Linked DNA regions of Saccharomyces cerevisiae S288C. The protein of the gene in region 4 interacts with the protein of the main gene of each other region in a biochemical or structural test. Each region holds a gene or a part of one and is shown on either strand. Other genes may lie near its edges.

The links.
Region 1: the proteins of SMC5 (region 4) and MHF2 form a complex in vitro, tested with the Saccharomyces cerevisiae proteins (one study listed by BioGRID).
Region 2: the proteins of SMC5 (region 4) and TUB1 form a complex in vitro, tested with the Saccharomyces cerevisiae proteins (one study listed by BioGRID).
Region 3: the proteins of SMC5 (region 4) and MPH1 form a complex in vitro, tested with the Saccharomyces cerevisiae proteins (2 studies listed by BioGRID).

What each region holds. Positions count from the first base shown.
Region 1 is NC_001136.10:168,844-171,511, reverse strand, and holds MHF2 (Mhf2p), read left to right. Parts: upstream 1-1,903; coding exon 1,904-2,146; downstream 2,147-2,668. Other genes in the region: DExD/H-box ATP-dependent RNA helicase DHH1, read left to right, coding at 1-1,102; ENT1 (epsin), read right to left, coding at 2,434-2,668. UniProt on the Saccharomyces cerevisiae protein: DNA-binding component of a FANCM-MHF complex involved in DNA damage repair and genome maintenance. FANCM-MHF promotes gene conversion at blocked replication forks, probably by reversal of the stalled fork.
Region 2 is NC_001145.3:97,390-101,298, reverse strand, and holds TUB1 (alpha-tubulin TUB1), read left to right. Parts: upstream 1-1,898; coding exon 1,899-1,923; intron 1,924-2,039; coding exon 2,040-3,358; downstream 3,359-3,909. Other genes in the region: YML083C (uncharacterized protein), read left to right, coding at 249-1,505. UniProt on the Saccharomyces cerevisiae protein: Tubulin is the major constituent of microtubules, a cylinder consisting of laterally associated linear protofilaments composed of alpha- and beta-tubulin heterodimers.
Region 3 is NC_001141.2:356,866-362,219, forward strand, and holds MPH1 (3'-5' DNA helicase), read right to left. Parts: upstream 3,532-5,354; coding exon 550-3,531; downstream 1-549. Other genes in the region: SGN1 (Sgn1p), read right to left, coding at 1-30; AIM21 (Aim21p), read left to right, coding at 4,020-5,354. UniProt on the Saccharomyces cerevisiae protein: ATP-dependent DNA helicase involved in DNA damage repair by homologous recombination and in genome maintenance. Capable of unwinding D-loops. Plays a role in limiting crossover recombinants during mitotic DNA double-strand break (DSB) repair.
Region 4 is NC_001147.6:258,123-263,766, forward strand, and holds SMC5 (DNA repair ATPase SMC5), read left to right. Parts: upstream 1-1,800; coding exon 1,801-5,082; downstream 5,083-5,644. Other genes in the region: YOL036W (uncharacterized protein), read left to right, coding at 1-908; glutamate--tRNA ligase MSE1, read left to right, coding at 5,353-5,644.

The DNA.
Region 1 (2,668 bases), on a different chromosome or scaffold from region 4:
CTGTGGTATTTCATGTATGGTGACCACTGGTGGTACCAATTTGAGAGACGATATTCTAAGATTAAATGAAACAGTCCATATTTTGGTTGGTACTCCTGGTAGAGTGTTGGATTTAGCTTCGAGAAAAGTAGCAGATCTGTCTGATTGTTCATTATTCATCATGGACGAAGCCGATAAAATGTTATCTCGTGACTTCAAGACAATAATTGAACAAATCTTATCCTTCTTACCTCCAACTCACCAATCTTTATTATTTAGCGCTACTTTCCCACTAACGGTTAAGGAATTCATGGTTAAACATCTGCATAAGCCTTATGAAATTAATTTGATGGAAGAATTGACTCTAAAGGGTATTACTCAATACTACGCCTTTGTTGAAGAAAGACAAAAGCTACATTGTTTAAATACTTTATTCTCTAAGCTTCAAATTAATCAAGCCATTATTTTTTGTAATTCTACTAACCGTGTCGAATTACTAGCCAAGAAAATCACTGATTTAGGCTATTCCTGTTATTACTCTCATGCAAGAATGAAGCAACAAGAAAGAAATAAAGTTTTCCACGAATTTCGTCAAGGTAAGGTTCGTACATTGGTCTGCTCCGATTTATTGACCCGTGGTATCGATATTCAAGCCGTTAATGTCGTTATCAATTTCGATTTCCCCAAAACGGCAGAAACATATTTACATCGTATTGGTAGATCCGGTAGGTTTGGCCACTTGGGTTTAGCAATCAATTTGATTAACTGGAATGATCGGTTTAACCTTTATAAAATCGAACAAGAACTGGGCACTGAAATTGCGGCTATTCCGGCCACTATCGATAAGTCATTGTATGTGGCTGAAAATGACGAAACGGTACCTGTCCCATTCCCGATAGAGCAACAGAGCTATCATCAACAAGCGATACCTCAGCAACAATTACCATCTCAGCAACAATTTGCTATTCCTCCGCAGCAACATCATCCACAATTCATGGTTCCTCCTTCGCATCAGCAACAACAGGCGTATCCTCCACCGCAAATGCCATCGCAGCAGGGGTATCCTCCACAGCAGGAACATTTCATGGCGATGCCACCTGGTCAGTCACAACCCCAGTATTAAAGAATATCTAAGAAAAAATAACTACTGTGGTGAGATACGCTTTTTTTGTGATCTAATCGTCGATTATTTTTATCTTTTTTCAAATCTCCATTGTGAATTACATTACTTTGTAACCATACTTTTACTATTGATTTTGAACAAGAATCAGTCGTAATTTAATTTTTGTCTCTGCTTTTTTATTTTTTTATCCGTTTTCTCTAGTTTCTGTGCTGATTTTTTTATCCTCATTTGCGCACCGTTTTTATTACTATCACTTTGTTATTTCTTTTTGTTTCTCTAAAATTATCTCAAACCACTTCATTCTTTTACCAGTCATTGTTGTAACCAATACTACCGTCCATATCAAGAGCTCAAGTGCACTTGCCCAGTTTCATCGACACTTTCGCTTTTAGCTAACTTTTATTGTTATAATTTCCACAATAAACTATTCATTTCAACTGACAAGATGAAACTTTCTTTGAATATTCTTTCTTTTTTTGAGTTTTTTTTTTTTTAAAAGCTTTTTTTTTTTTTTTTTTATAGAGAGTAATCTCAAGGAAAGAATATTAATACTGTGTATATATATATATATATATACATATATATATAAAACTGTTTAGATAAATTAACCAACCAAAAAGATACATGTATTTTTATTATTTTTACCTATTATTTTTTACTTTGCTGCATCTTCATGTTTCCGGGAGACCAGAATTATCTTTCGGGCCAAAATATCAAAAATCAATCATACATAAAAGCGTGTTAGAATTTACATTATTGCACTTAGAAAGGACATGAGTACAGAGCACAGTAATTGTGGTGATGTTATCTAAAGAAGCGTTAATAAAAATCCTCAGCCAAAATGAAGGTGGTAATGATATGAAAATTGCCGATGAAGTAGTACCAATGATACAGAAATATTTGGATATATTCATTGATGAGGCGGTGCTGCGGTCCTTGCAATCTCACAAGGACATTAACGGAGAACGTGGCGATAAAAGTCCCTTAGAGTTATCGCATCAAGATTTAGAGCGTATCGTAGGGCTTCTTCTGATGGATATGTAAAAGTATTCAACTTACATTACATCCATGTAAAGACATAAGACATTCCTGGTTGTCTGATAAATTTAAAGCACTATATTTTCTTTCAGTCGTCCTGAACTACGTTAGTTTACTAAAGTAGTTTTTGGAGCGATCGTGCGCTCACATATACAAATATACAGTTCATTTTATACTAAACGCTTGCATCAAAACGCGCTGTGAAATGATTAAATTACTTAGTCCATATATATTATGCGATGCGAGAAAATGCTCATCTGATTAGAAATGCGGACTGGAATGACAGAATCACTTCATAAATCAATTAGAGTATATCCCCGGTTATTTGAGCCATTATTTTGAGACTGCTGTTGAGACTGGTTACCAAAGCCATAGCCTGTTTGTGTTGGTACGACGCTAGTGCTTGGTAAACCTGTATACTGACTGTTCAAAAACGGATTGTGGTTTGGATCATCCGATACTTGCCTATATCCTGTTCCTTGAGAATTGATGAATGTTCCTGTCTTCGTATGTTGGGCAGGAATACGA
Region 2 (3,909 bases), on a different chromosome or scaffold from region 4:
CAAACCTTGACGTGTGCTTGCTTTTAAACGGGTCGGAGAATTTACTCTTGAGCATATACGTGTGGGCATATGCATACAAATATATAAATACATTCGGGTGTATACGTAAATATATAAATATATAAAGTAACATATGTATATAAAGACGAAAGATTGAACGCCATCGTGGAGAGGGTTTTCGTATGAAGGTGCCTTAAGTCTTGTGTAGAAGTAGTTCTTTAGTTAAGATAGAACCTGGTAAAGACTCAATGGACTATTTACATGTATATAACAACAACCAGGCGCACGTTCCCAGAACACCTCCAGGCAGGCAGTGCCTATCGCCCGTTCTGCCCCCAATCATATTGGCGTTAGATCAACAACATTCGCTGACATTTGGGTACTCCAGCCCCAGGTGCTTGCCAACACCCATATTGCCTTCTATGAGCACAAATACGCCCGTCCATTGGTCACAACAGGTTGTCACTATCCCTGTCGCTGTACGAAATCATGCCGCAATGATGCCTATTATCACACCTATGACCTCCCCAAGACCTCAGTTTGAAGCAACGGCTCCCTCACCCCCTTTGGCCCCGGTCGCCATAAAGCTGCCAGATTTGAAACTACCACCGTCGCCTGTGCCCAGCACAGTAGAGGACAGAGTTTCACATCCTATCCTGCCCAAAATTGTGATCGGGAATGGCGGCGGCCGTGATGTTGAGCGAGATAGTACCGAGGAATTAATTAGGAAGATTCCAAACTACATTGGTTGTGCAAAAACAAAGGCACAATTGAGCAAAGTTAGGTCTGGTAAACAACTAATTGCATGCGCACAGGAATATCACCATCCAGTAAACAAGGACGAGATCGAAAATATCAACAACATTCTAAACTTCAGGGACTTTATTTTCAAGCATCCAAAATCCTCCTTCGAGTTCCTATGTACCCTGTCGTTTGAGCAGTTCGTTAGAGTATATTCATTCATTAGTTTCATCTACAGGACAAAGAAAATCAATAAGAACAAGTACGAACTCGTTTGTGAGATGAATGTTCACGAGCAACTCAGCAATAAGCGTATACAAAGAACAAGGACTCCTGAAAAGTACAAAATACATTTGATCTGCGAGTCAAAACTCATACTGACCTTCAACCACTGTACGAAGACAGTAAAATTTGAGTCTATCAATGGCGGGCACTGCCATCCGATTTCAGCCAACCACATTATCAAGCCCTCCCTCTTCCTTACCCACTGCATTAATAAATGCTACCAGACCGTGTCAGACCCTACCGATTTGAAATTGGCATTGAGAGACGCCTTAGAAGCCCTTGATCATGAAAGGATAGGATTGTCTTTCTTAAAGAGGAGACATTTCAAGTGCTCACACCAAGCATCATCACTCTCGAATGCCAGCGCCACATTGAAGAAACAAGAAGATCATGACACATTTGGTGTACATACAGGAATAATTCATACGGCAAATTTCTTCATGTTTAATGCATCTAGCGATATATTCCAGAGGAACTAACATATATAAATATCTGTATCCTTCTTTAAGAAAACACAATTGCATACTTTTTCCATTATAACTGACTGTTTCAGATCCTGCAATAGAAAGTATTTTTTAAGTAATGAAATAGTGCTTCCATTGATAGTAAGTGAGTAATAAGACGATCGGAAACTATTAATATAAGTATAGTTTACATATATATATATATATATGTGCCAGACGATAATATCACCGTAGTTTCCGGCCGGGTTATGCCACGCGAAAACGCCTCGAGCCAAGGGAAAAACTAAACTACAAAACAAAACAAAACAAAACAAAAACATCTACTATATCGTTTTACCCAATTCAGTATATCCGTCTACAACAGTTCTCGCCACCCAAGATCTGTAAACTTACAACTGCAAACAAACAATGAGAGAAGTTATTAGTATTAATGGTATGTTCGATTTGCCCGTCCAGGCTAGATCTTTTTTTTGTTAGTTCATTTTGGCGTTTCATCTTTCATTACTAACTTCAACGCAAAATTTTTTTTTTTTTGATTTCTCTTTACAGTCGGTCAAGCTGGTTGTCAGATTGGTAATGCCTGTTGGGAATTATATTCCCTTGAGCACGGTATTAAGCCGGATGGACATCTAGAAGATGGCCTTTCAAAGCCGAAGGGAGGAGAAGAGGGTTTCTCCACGTTTTTCCATGAAACCGGCTACGGTAAGTTCGTTCCAAGGGCTATTTACGTGGATTTAGAGCCCAACGTTATTGACGAAGTCCGTAACGGTCCTTACAAGGACTTGTTCCATCCAGAACAGTTGATCAGTGGTAAGGAGGACGCGGCTAATAATTATGCAAGAGGCCATTACACCGTTGGTAGAGAAATTTTGGGCGATGTTCTGGATAGGATTAGAAAACTGGCAGACCAATGTGATGGGTTACAAGGGTTCTTGTTTACCCATTCTCTTGGTGGTGGTACTGGTTCCGGTCTAGGGTCCTTACTGTTGGAAGAACTATCCGCTGAATACGGTAAGAAATCCAAGCTGGAATTTGCCGTATACCCTGCTCCACAAGTGTCTACTTCTGTGGTTGAGCCTTACAACACAGTTTTAACTACACATACTACATTGGAACATGCAGATTGTACTTTCATGGTCGATAATGAGGCTATTTACGACATGTGCAAAAGAAACTTGGATATCCCAAGACCAAGCTTTGCAAACTTAAACAACCTAATTGCTCAAGTGGTATCATCTGTTACAGCATCATTGAGATTCGACGGTTCATTAAATGTAGATTTGAACGAATTTCAAACCAATTTGGTTCCATATCCAAGAATTCATTTCCCCTTAGTTTCATATTCTCCAGTCTTATCCAAATCAAAGGCATTCCATGAGTCCAACTCTGTGTCAGAAATTACAAACGCTTGTTTTGAACCTGGTAACCAGATGGTCAAGTGTGATCCAAGAGATGGTAAATACATGGCTACTTGTCTGTTATACAGGGGTGATGTGGTAACAAGAGATGTTCAAAGAGCTGTCGAGCAGGTGAAAAACAAGAAGACCGTCCAATTGGTTGATTGGTGTCCAACTGGTTTCAAGATCGGTATTTGCTACGAACCTCCAACTGCCACACCAAACTCACAATTGGCCACTGTGGATAGGGCCGTCTGTATGTTGTCAAATACCACATCCATTGCTGAGGCTTGGAAGAGAATCGATAGAAAATTCGATTTAATGTATGCCAAACGTGCTTTCGTCCACTGGTATGTCGGTGAAGGTATGGAAGAAGGTGAATTCACCGAAGCTAGAGAAGATTTGGCTGCTTTAGAAAGAGATTACATCGAAGTGGGTGCCGACTCATACGCTGAGGAAGAGGAATTTTAAGGTTCACTCTCGCCCCCAACCTCCTTATCCTTTCTATATTTCAAGTATATTGTAAAAAAAAAAATTCCCCCTACTGTTATATCTCTTTGGTGATATCTTATCTATAATCTACTTATTATATTTCTCTAATATCTATGTACAAAAAATAAAAAAAAAAACCATTCTCCTTCTCTAACCTGCATTTGATGAAAGCTTAGTAAGTCTCATCGTAGTTGATGGGCCAAAGACATTTGTACTTGTTTCATCAGATTCTTACATCACCCATTTCCATGATTATTTCACGGATTTCATTAGTAATTGCATTTTTGTATCCCTAGTTCCTTTTCTCCCGCCTTGCCGTCGAATTGAAAAAAAAAATGGAAATGAGGACATCTTCCATTGATATCCAGGACAAAGCAAGAGTAGAAGTAACTATTAGCAAGGAGAATTCCAAAAATAGTGAACTTCAAGGTAAGCAGATCTATAGTTTCAATATCTGATTTTCTGCTTTTCAAAACTTAAAATTCATTAGAAGGTAAAACAAGAACCCGTAAAATTAAAGTTACCGATAT
Region 3 (5,354 bases), on a different chromosome or scaffold from region 4:
CTTAGCATCCACTTTCTCTTCCTGGGACATAACAGCAATTGCAAATGATGACACTATGTGACAGCAGATATATGTTTATGTTAATAGGCCTGGTTGGAGAGCGAAAGTTGAGATTACTTACTTAATCAAAATTAAATTTGAAATTTGCTGCATTTTAAGGTTACTTTTCGGAGTGTAGGAAATTGTTGCGGTTTTTTTTCACCTAACGAATGATTGATAATCTTTTTCATATCCTCCAAGAAACAAGCTGTTTATTATGGTGATTGCCACAAATTGAAGCGCTATGCTTAGTGCTTCATGACAGAAAGGTTTTGCATTGGTAGGCGTGGAAGATTACAGATTGTACTCGTCGTTGGCTCAATTTTTATATTTTGTTGCTTCAAAAACAGTGCCGTATCCTTAATGAATGAAAAATTCTAAAGAAAATAAGTTGATACTAAAAATATAATGTCCTTGAAGTATTTATGCGATATATAGAAAAATCTATAAATACTTAAATATTACAGCAGCGTTATTTTTGTATAGACGCCGACGTATAAGAGTCTCCTATCAAAAATCAGAATCTGAGCCCAGTATGTCATCTAATTCTGCGTTCGATAAGGTAAAAGATTGGGATGAATCATGGTTGACACTGTTGTTATCGACTTGACTTTTATCGTTAACTTTTACAAATTTTTTTTCGTCTCGTAACATGCCTCTCGCCAAACATTTAGTATAGTTCATATCAATTGTCCTCTTCTTATTATCATTACTCTCGTCGTTAAATAACGTAATGATTTTTGAAACTTTGTGACAATGCGGAACTTTTACCCCTTTGGTGTATTGTACAAAATTGGGCTCCACATCGAAGGAAACACCTTCTGGGATATAGCGGTTTCTGAAAAAATTCCAATCGTCCAAACTCAATACCATGTTATTCTTGTCAACAGTACAGCTCTTTTCTTTTTCAAGGTTGTGTTGATTTCCTCGGATGTCTTTCACATTTTTCTCGATTTTAGTTGGAAGACCACAATCATTCACAAATAAAGCCATATTAGGGCGTTCAAAATTATGAAGTGGCTTGAGTGTGGTAAGACTTTCGCCAGTGCGAATAATGGCAGTTTCCAAATCTTTTTGGCATCCATTCTGCCCTTCCGCAATGAAAACATTATTATCATCACTGACTTCTTCATCTTCAGTTTCTAATGAGGAGGAAGCTTCCTCGGTTGAATCATTCTCCAGATTATCCAAAGCTTTAAAAATCTTCCGCTTCTTACTTGGGTTTTCATTACTCGTTACTAGTTGTTTCCCGCCACTTTCATTCACCAAGAACTTATTAATTAAAGTGCTTGCACTAACAATACTGGTCTCAACATTATCAGGCATAAAGAACTTCTTCGGTTTTTTATTTTCCTGAACTCTCTTCTTCTTTGTTATGGCTTTTTTTGGCTTCACCTTTTTGCCCATCATACACTGAGTCGCATAACGAATAACTTCGTCAACATCTTCCATTTCATTAATTATTTCGTTTTCATCATTAATCGTGATCAATGTCTCGTGACATTCCGGAATAATGTCTTCAGGGATTATCCGATCTGATTTTTTATAGTCAATGCATTGCTTGGATATAAGCGCTTGCAGGGTTGAATAGTCTTCCATAGCACGCTCGAATTTGTATGATTCATTACTGCTAAACAGTAGTACTATCTTACCATCTCGTTTTCTGCCTGTTCTACCCATACGCTGAATATTTTTGATTGGACTACTTGTAGTATCATAACAGATTATTAAATCAACTTCTCCGATATCCAAACCTTCTTCTCCAATTGATGTACAAACGAGAACATTATATTCACCCTTTTTGAAATTATGGATAACCTCTTTTTGCATTTTTTGGTTCATTCCGCTAATCTGAGCCTCTTCAGAGCTCCCCGTTCGTCTGGCACTTCTTTCAAGTTTATCATTCGCCGCTCTCTTAGTTCGTTCAGCTTCCAAAAATTTCTCTTGCTCTTGCCTATGCAATCTCTCTACCTTCTTCCTTCCCTTTGGCGCATGTTTTCTTGTGTATTTGACCTCATCAAAACCTTCTTTTGCACGAGCTTGTCCAATAAAAATATGAGGCCTGATTTGATCGTCAGCTACCGAGTCTATGAACTTCACAATTTCAAGTGCGCTTTCTCTTAATTCTGTAAAAATAATAACCCTCGAGTCGGAACCCCTTTTCTGAAAAAAGTCCATTAGTTCATCTCTAACACATTGTAACTTCCCATGACCGACAAACTTTGGATCACTTAAATAATTTTCGCATTGATTTTTGATGTTTTTCAAAATCGGATGGTAATAAAACTCAGCTGCAATTTTATTAGTAGATTTTTTAAGATTATATTTCGTAGTGAATTCTGTACATTTATTCTGGAAGTAATTGAAAAATGTCCTTATTCCATAAATTTTTAATCTCTTTAGCATTTGACCCACATTGTTCAATAACTGTAAAATAAAGAAGTTCCTCCACTTAATTCCTTCAGGTATAGTAGGGTTAGCAATAATTTTTTGGCTTTGTTGCATGGCTTTGAAGGCGTTTATTTGTGAAGGGTCACATTCCTCATATATACCGAGTTCAATTGCCTGTTGAAGCACTGGTTTGACGGCCATACCTAATTGTTCGATTATGTCTTCAATTTCCAACAAAAGGGGCACTTCAATTTTTTCCTTTTTTCTTTTCTTCATATATTTCACGATATCCATGCTTTCTTCAGTCCTAATTTCAATCTTGGAAATATCTAAGTTATTAACCACTTCTTGGACACCTTCCAGGTCAGAGGCTGGTGTAGCGGTCAATGCTAATAATCTGTATGATGAATTGAACCTATCTATGAATTTTACCACATTTGTATACGCAGAGGAGCCAGTAGCTCTGTGAGCTTCATCGATGACAAGACATACAATATCCTTAGGATCCAATACACCCCTCTTCAAGTCATTCTCCACTACTTGCGGTGTGGCAAAGAAAACTCTCTTATTGGCCCAAATTTCTTCTCTATTTTTCCTGCTTTTATCGAGTAATATAGCAGTTTGATCCGAAGGTATTCCTGTTATACCTAAGCATGCCTTAATTTGCTGGGCTACCAAAGGTCTTGTTGGAGCAGTAAAGATTATTTTGGCTTTTTTGGTCCAACGAAAATAATTTAACATTACTGTACTGGCAATGAACGTTTTACCCATACCCGTTGGGATGGCGCATAACGTATTTTGAAACAGTGATTTGTGAACAATTGTATACTGATAATCCCTTACCTCGTAATTTGTAGGGTACACGTAGAACGACAAAGCATCGTAATCAAGCTCATGATGAGTGGGTCCAAAACTGACATCTCTTTGAATTTCTTCGTACACAGTTTTCTGCCCAGGTAAAACGTTATCATGAAGGTCTTTTTGAACTGGTACAGCACGTCTCGTTATAGTTTCCTTCACAGATTTATTGATAGCCTTTTCATACAGTTTATCCAGCTCGTCATCTTCGAAATCACTAAAGTAATCATCTGCACTAGCCATCAGAGAGAAAAAAGGACACTAAAATAAAACAGAACCGGAATGTGTTGAATAAAACTGAAGTGAGCTACTATATCTTGAATCACAATATCTTAGCTCCGTGATAGAGCATAGGGCACCTCTATTGATCTCTTCGTGATGCCCGGTTATATACACACGTAACCCCGTAAAAGCCGTTACCCGGTTTATGTCTTTCTGTGAGCACAGTAAGCTAGGAAGGTCGATGGAGAAGAAGACTCCTGTCTCATATGGAACAACCTTGCAAATTGAGTGCAATTATCCCCTTTGGAGTTTGAATTTTGTGTTAGTACATTCTCCTTTTTTAACTTGTCTTTTCTACCACATGCACAATGAAAGCAATCTTGTTTTACCAGGCGCGAAGCAAAAGAAAAGGAGAAATATTGAGTATATTTTAATTTAAGCTTTCTGATTTAGAAAGTATCATGTTTTGTTGGTGATCTAACAGGAAATCTATTTTGACCGATTATACAATGCCATCGGAAGTTACGCCAAAAGTACCTGAGAGGCCCTCAAGGAGGAAGACATCTGAGCTGTTTCCGTTATCCGGCTCTGAATCAGGAGATATTAAAGCTAATAGCGAGCCACCAACACCAGCAGGAACGCCCAATGTACCAACACGTAGACCCATACTTAAAGCAAAGACGATGACTTCGTTTGAGAGTGGTATGGATCAAGAGAGTTTGCCCAAGGTACCATTGCAGAGGCCAGTTAGACGCTCCACTACTGAAGAACTAAATAATGTAATGAATAACACCAGTAAGGAGTTAGAGGAGATTGAAAGTTTGATTTCAAAGCACAATATACACAATGTTTCCAGGAAAAAAAGTCCAACTTCTGTGGAAGAGGGAAAGGTGGCCGCCATTCATCAAAACGGGCAAAGAAGTGCATCAGATAACAAAACTTCTACAAATCCCTCCCCACTCGAAAAAAATGAGCACGAGGGTGCTGAGGGCAATGAGTCTGCTATTTCACCTTCTAATTTAGTTAACAAGTCTAATAATGAAGTGACAGAGCATAGTGACTCCGAAGACCTTACTGAAAAGCAAAAGGTACATGCTGCCCTAGATAATGAGGCAGGGGATAGAAGCCATTTTGAAGAAAAGCTCATTCCTGGAGATATGAAAGTACAGGTAGATGTTAGTAAGGACGTAGAAGAAGGCAGCCTCAATGCTCTGCCTCCATCTGGAATCACAGAATCAGACGACAAAGCTGAAAAGTTCACTAAACATCCTGAATCTAGTTTAGAAGAGCTACAGAAGCATCAAGAACAACAGGAAGAAAAAATTTTCCAAAATCCAACCGATGAAGAAAGTACTACCTCTTTGAATGAGAAACAAGAAGGCAAGGACAACATGGAAGTGAATTCTCAGCCGCAAGGACCTTCTGATACTGAAACAGTTATAGCAGCAACTAGCTCAAACGTTCCTTCACAAATTGCAAGTGAAGAGGAAAATGACGTTCCAGTGATTCCAAGGAGTAGGCCTAAGAAGGATTTTGAAGCACACGTACAAAAAGAGGAGTTGCCTAACACACAAGAGAAGCGAGTATCAGAAGAGTGTGATTCGACCCTAATTAGTACCGAAGAGGAAAGTAAAATCCCAAAAATTCCCTCTGAAAGACCAAAGAGACGTGCCCCACCTCCGGTTCCCAAAAAACCTTCTTCAAGAATTGCGGCCTTTCAAGAAATGTTACAAAAACAACAGCAACAAGATCTGCATAATAATGGTAATTCTTCAGCTACTACCGCTTCAGCAGATATTGCTAAAAAACACACAGATTCTTCTATTACTAGCGATACCACGAAG
Region 4 (5,644 bases):
GGCAGCCCATGCTAATTCGACGATCTTCCACTATTGATAATAAACTACCTAGGAGGCAGCTTTCGTGCTCGAAGCTTTATTCGCGCCTCAATTCGGACAGCAAGTTTGCGAATAGCAGTCGAGCTTCGGAGGAGGTCTTAGTGTCCACTCCAAATGACACAGAACACGTCTACAGAAAGACATCTCTAGGTTCTAAGATAAAGAGAGGTTTTACTAGAATATTGAGCGACAGTAATAATAGTAAGGAAATTCTCACTTTATCACCCAAATCTATGGTGACTACGGGGCCTACAGAATTGTCGTTTTCCTCTTTATCAACCGTGGGAGGACATCCGACAACGCCAGTCTCAAAAGAAAATGATCGAGTTTCAATAGATGGCGTGAGTACATTTAATCGAGCATCAACATCTCTTCCAGAATCATCAACAGACGACATCTCTCCACTACGCGAAGAAGGTAAGATTAATGTTCCTAAAAGAACGTCAAGTAGAAAGATACTGTCTAAAAATTCAAGCAAAAAAAATGTACTGCCTGAACAGCAAACAAAGCCAAGTGAAATATATCTGGATAAAGAAGCCTTACAAAGTTTTGTTCCCGTACTCTCTGTCACAGAGGGTACTCATCGCATCAATCGCTCGTCGTTACAAACGCAATCTACCATCGGATTATGCATTACCAATTTAAGAAACAAAGAAGGCATGAAGCTCAATGCCAAGGAATACGTGGAAATCCTGGCTCAGCAGCAACGCAAGGAAGATGAAAGGTATGCTGTTTTGGAAAGAAAATTTGCATCTTGTAGATGGTGCAGTGATAAGGACCTGCAGTATTTGAAAAAGAAACGAATTTCCATGAATAAGATATGGTCTGATTATGTCCGATTTTACCGTGGAAAGTTGAACAACCCATGAAGGAAAAAGGTCTTGGCTATATATAACGGCAGACAAAATATAAGTATACACGTATATATGGTGGTAAACACGCATATACTGTATGCCATGTATTTACCATTACATAGTTATTTACGCACTCTATAAAAAGTTAACATTGCATTTTAATAAATTCCTTAAATTACTCTAATTAGGATGGTAGCCCTACCTTTTTTTTTTTTGGCACACATGGTCAACTTTTCTTCTCATGCTTTAAAAGGCGAGAAAAAATGAAAATTAGCAAAATGACCTTTCCCTCCTTCCCACATTGAATATATACACTGGAAGATATAAGCAACCAGTACTGTAGATAAAAAAGATCACTACGATATTCGTCGGACTCCAGTCGGAGTGCAGTGCCCGATTACTCTTAATTGCACGCATCGTGCCAAGTTTAATTGGTATTGCTCGAACATCTAGGAATAAGAGAAGGACTTACTTTAGAATGATGAAAGAGGTAGCAATTTGCAGCAGATTTTTCGTGATTGAATCAAACAAAGATTAACCTTTACAGAACCGCTACACTGATACTAATGTAAGAAACATTTCCTTTATTTTTTTTCTAGCCCGTAGTGTACTCTTATAGTTTTGATATTTCCTTTCTATCTTTGTAAATGTAAATAATCACATTTGTCTGACAACACACTTGTTGCCACTAATTATTTCAACAAGCTGGCATAGCTGATCTTATTAATCTTGTAGACCGTTCAGGATGACTGGGCTATATTATGGCGTTAACTTTCGCGTTGGATTACCTTTTTATGCGATGACAAGATGCCGATAATAGGTATTTACTTTCACAAGTACGTGTACGCAATTCTAAAGGAAGTATATCAAATAAAAGGGCGTGGTACATAAAAGCTATATCCCTAGCATGACCAGTCTAATAGATTTGGGCAGATATGTTGAAAGAACGCATCATGGAGAAGATACAGAGCCAAGATCGAAAAGGGTAAAAATCGCAAAACCTGACTTGTCTTCCTTCCAACCAGGCAGCATTATTAAGATCCGTTTACAGGATTTTGTTACTTACACTTTAACCGAATTCAATCTTTCACCGTCTTTAAATATGATCATTGGGCCAAACGGATCTGGAAAATCTACTTTCGTATGCGCAGTGTGTTTAGGATTGGCTGGTAAACCCGAGTATATTGGTAGGAGTAAAAAAGTGGAAGATTTCATCAAAAATGGTCAAGATGTTTCAAAAATTGAAATCACCTTGAAAAATTCACCAAATGTTACTGATATTGAATACATAGACGCACGTGATGAAACAATAAAGATTACCAGGATTATTACGAGATCCAAGAGGAGATCGGATTATCTAATAAATGACTACCAGGTATCTGAGAGTGTAGTTAAAACTTTAGTTGCTCAGCTGAACATTCAGTTGGATAATCTTTGTCAATTTTTATCTCAAGAGCGTGTTGAGGAGTTTGCTCGCTTGAAGTCAGTTAAATTATTAGTAGAGACTATAAGGTCAATCGATGCAAGCTTATTGGATGTGTTGGATGAACTAAGGGAATTACAAGGAAATGAGCAAAGCTTGCAAAAAGATCTCGATTTTAAAAAAGCTAAAATTGTTCATTTGAGACAAGAAAGTGATAAACTACGTAAATCAGTTGAATCTTTACGAGATTTTCAAAATAAGAAGGGTGAAATCGAGTTACACTCCCAACTATTACCTTATGTGAAAGTAAAGGACCATAAAGAAAAGCTAAACATATATAAAGAAGAATACGAACGAGCGAAAGCGAACTTAAGGGCTATACTGAAGGATAAAAAACCATTTGCAAATACTAAGAAGACTTTGGAAAATCAGGTGGAAGAGTTAACAGAGAAGTGTTCCCTAAAAACTGATGAGTTCCTGAAAGCAAAAGAAAAGATCAACGAAATCTTCGAAAAATTAAATACTATTAGGGATGAGGTCATCAAAAAGAAAAACCAGAACGAATATTATAGAGGAAGAACCAAAAAACTACAGGCCACCATTATTAGTACAAAGGAAGATTTTCTAAGGAGTCAGGAAATATTAGCACAAACACATCTTCCTGAGAAAAGCGTATTTGAAGATATAGACATTAAAAGAAAGGAAATTATTAATAAAGAAGGCGAAATTAGGGATCTTATTTCCGAAATTGATGCGAAGGCGAACGCTATTAATCATGAGATGAGAAGCATACAGAGACAAGCTGAAAGCAAGACCAAATCCCTTACAACAACTGATAAAATCGGTATCTTAAATCAGGACCAGGATTTAAAGGAGGTCCGTGATGCTGTGTTGATGGTTAGAGAGCATCCAGAAATGAAAGATAAAATTCTAGAACCGCCAATAATGACCGTGTCTGCCATTAACGCTCAATTTGCTGCATATTTAGCACAATGTGTGGATTATAATACGAGTAAAGCCTTGACTGTTGTTGATTCTGATTCTTACAAGCTATTTGCAAATCCAATTCTTGACAAATTCAAGGTTAATTTGAGAGAACTCTCCAGTGCAGACACCACCCCTCCTGTACCAGCGGAAACGGTGAGGGACCTGGGATTTGAGGGTTATCTATCCGATTTTATTACCGGTGATAAGAGGGTTATGAAAATGCTTTGTCAAACTAGCAAAATTCATACTATACCGGTATCAAGAAGGGAATTGACGCCTGCTCAGATAAAGAAGTTGATTACACCAAGACCGAATGGGAAAATTCTTTTTAAAAGGATTATTCATGGGAATAGGTTAGTCGATATCAAGCAATCAGCATATGGTAGTAAGCAGGTCTTTCCTACTGACGTTAGTATTAAACAAACTAATTTTTATCAGGGATCAATCATGTCAAATGAGCAGAAAATTAGAATTGAAAATGAAATTATCAACTTAAAGAATGAATACAACGATCGAAAATCTACGTTAGATGCATTGTCAAACCAGAAAAGTGGTTATAGGCACGAATTATCTGAGTTGGCGTCAAAAAACGACGATATTAATAGGGAAGCTCATCAATTAAATGAGATTCGCAAGAAGTACACTATGAGAAAAAGTACAATAGAGACTTTAAGAGAGAAATTAGATCAACTGAAACGTGAAGCTAGAAAGGACGTATCTCAAAAGATTAAAGATATTGATGATCAGATCCAACAACTATTACTCAAGCAAAGACATTTGCTGTCTAAAATGGCCTCTTCAATGAAGAGTTTAAAGAATTGTCAGAAGGAGTTAATAAGTACTCAAATCCTTCAATTTGAAGCCCAAAATATGGATGTTTCTATGAATGACGTAATTGGTTTTTTCAATGAGAGGGAAGCTGATTTGAAGAGCCAATATGAAGACAAGAAAAAGTTCGTAAAAGAAATGAGAGACACTCCTGAATTTCAATCATGGATGAGAGAAATCAGGTCTTATGACCAAGACACTAAGGAAAAATTGAATAAAGTGGCAGAAAAATACGAGGAGGAAGGGAATTTCAATCTGTCATTCGTTCAGGATGTTCTCGATAAATTAGAATCGGAGATAGCTATGGTAAACCACGACGAGTCAGCCGTAACAATTTTGGATCAAGTCACAGCCGAACTGAGAGAGTTGGAGCACACGGTTCCTCAGCAGTCGAAAGACTTGGAGACCATTAAAGCTAAATTAAAAGAAGATCACGCAGTTTTGGAGCCCAAATTAGATGATATTGTATCAAAAATCTCTGCAAGATTTGCGCGCTTATTCAACAATGTTGGGAGTGCTGGTGCGGTTCGTCTAGAAAAGCCGAAGGACTATGCTGAATGGAAGATAGAAATCATGGTAAAATTCAGAGATAATGCACCTTTAAAAAAGTTAGATTCCCACACGCAATCAGGTGGTGAAAGAGCTGTTTCTACAGTTCTTTACATGATTGCTTTGCAAGAGTTTACCTCTGCACCATTTAGAGTGGTTGATGAAATCAATCAAGGTATGGACTCTAGAAATGAAAGGATCGTTCATAAAGCTATGGTGGAGAACGCGTGTGCCGAAAACACTTCTCAATATTTTTTAATCACTCCAAAATTATTGACTGGCTTGCATTATCATGAAAAGATGAGAATACACTGTGTCATGGCTGGTTCTTGGATTCCAAACCCTTCTGAGGATCCGAAGATGATACATTTCGGTGAAACTTCTAACTACTCATTCGATTAATCTTTCACTATTGCATAATTAATTATACACATATAGATGTAAACATGTTTATAACCAAGACGTTTGGTCTCATCTAGCAAAAATGTCTTCTAGTGTCAGCTGTCTTACCTCACAAATGTAAGGCTTCACCAAATAAAGAACTAATTAAATAGAACGCGCTTAAGAAAAGCTGCAATAATTAATTTCTTATATTAAATTCGAGGCACCAAAGCAAGCAACCGCTACATGACAAAAATCTAATCTGGTACAGAAGAACTATAAAATAACAATATGATCATGTTGAGAATACCGACACGGTCTTATTGTTCACCTTCGAAGCTAATAAAGGGCGTAGGTCTCTCACCATTGAAGAAATCTCTGTTATCCAAGAAAATAAAGGAAGATATCCATCCTTCTTTACCTGTTAGAACTAGGTTTGCGCCTTCTCCAACTGGGTTTTTACACTTGGGGTCACTGAGAACAGCCCTTTACAATTACCTATTAGCAAGAAACACCAATGGGCAGTTTTTGCTTCGTTTAGAAGATACAGACCAGAAGAGGCTAATAGAGGGAGCAGAAGAAA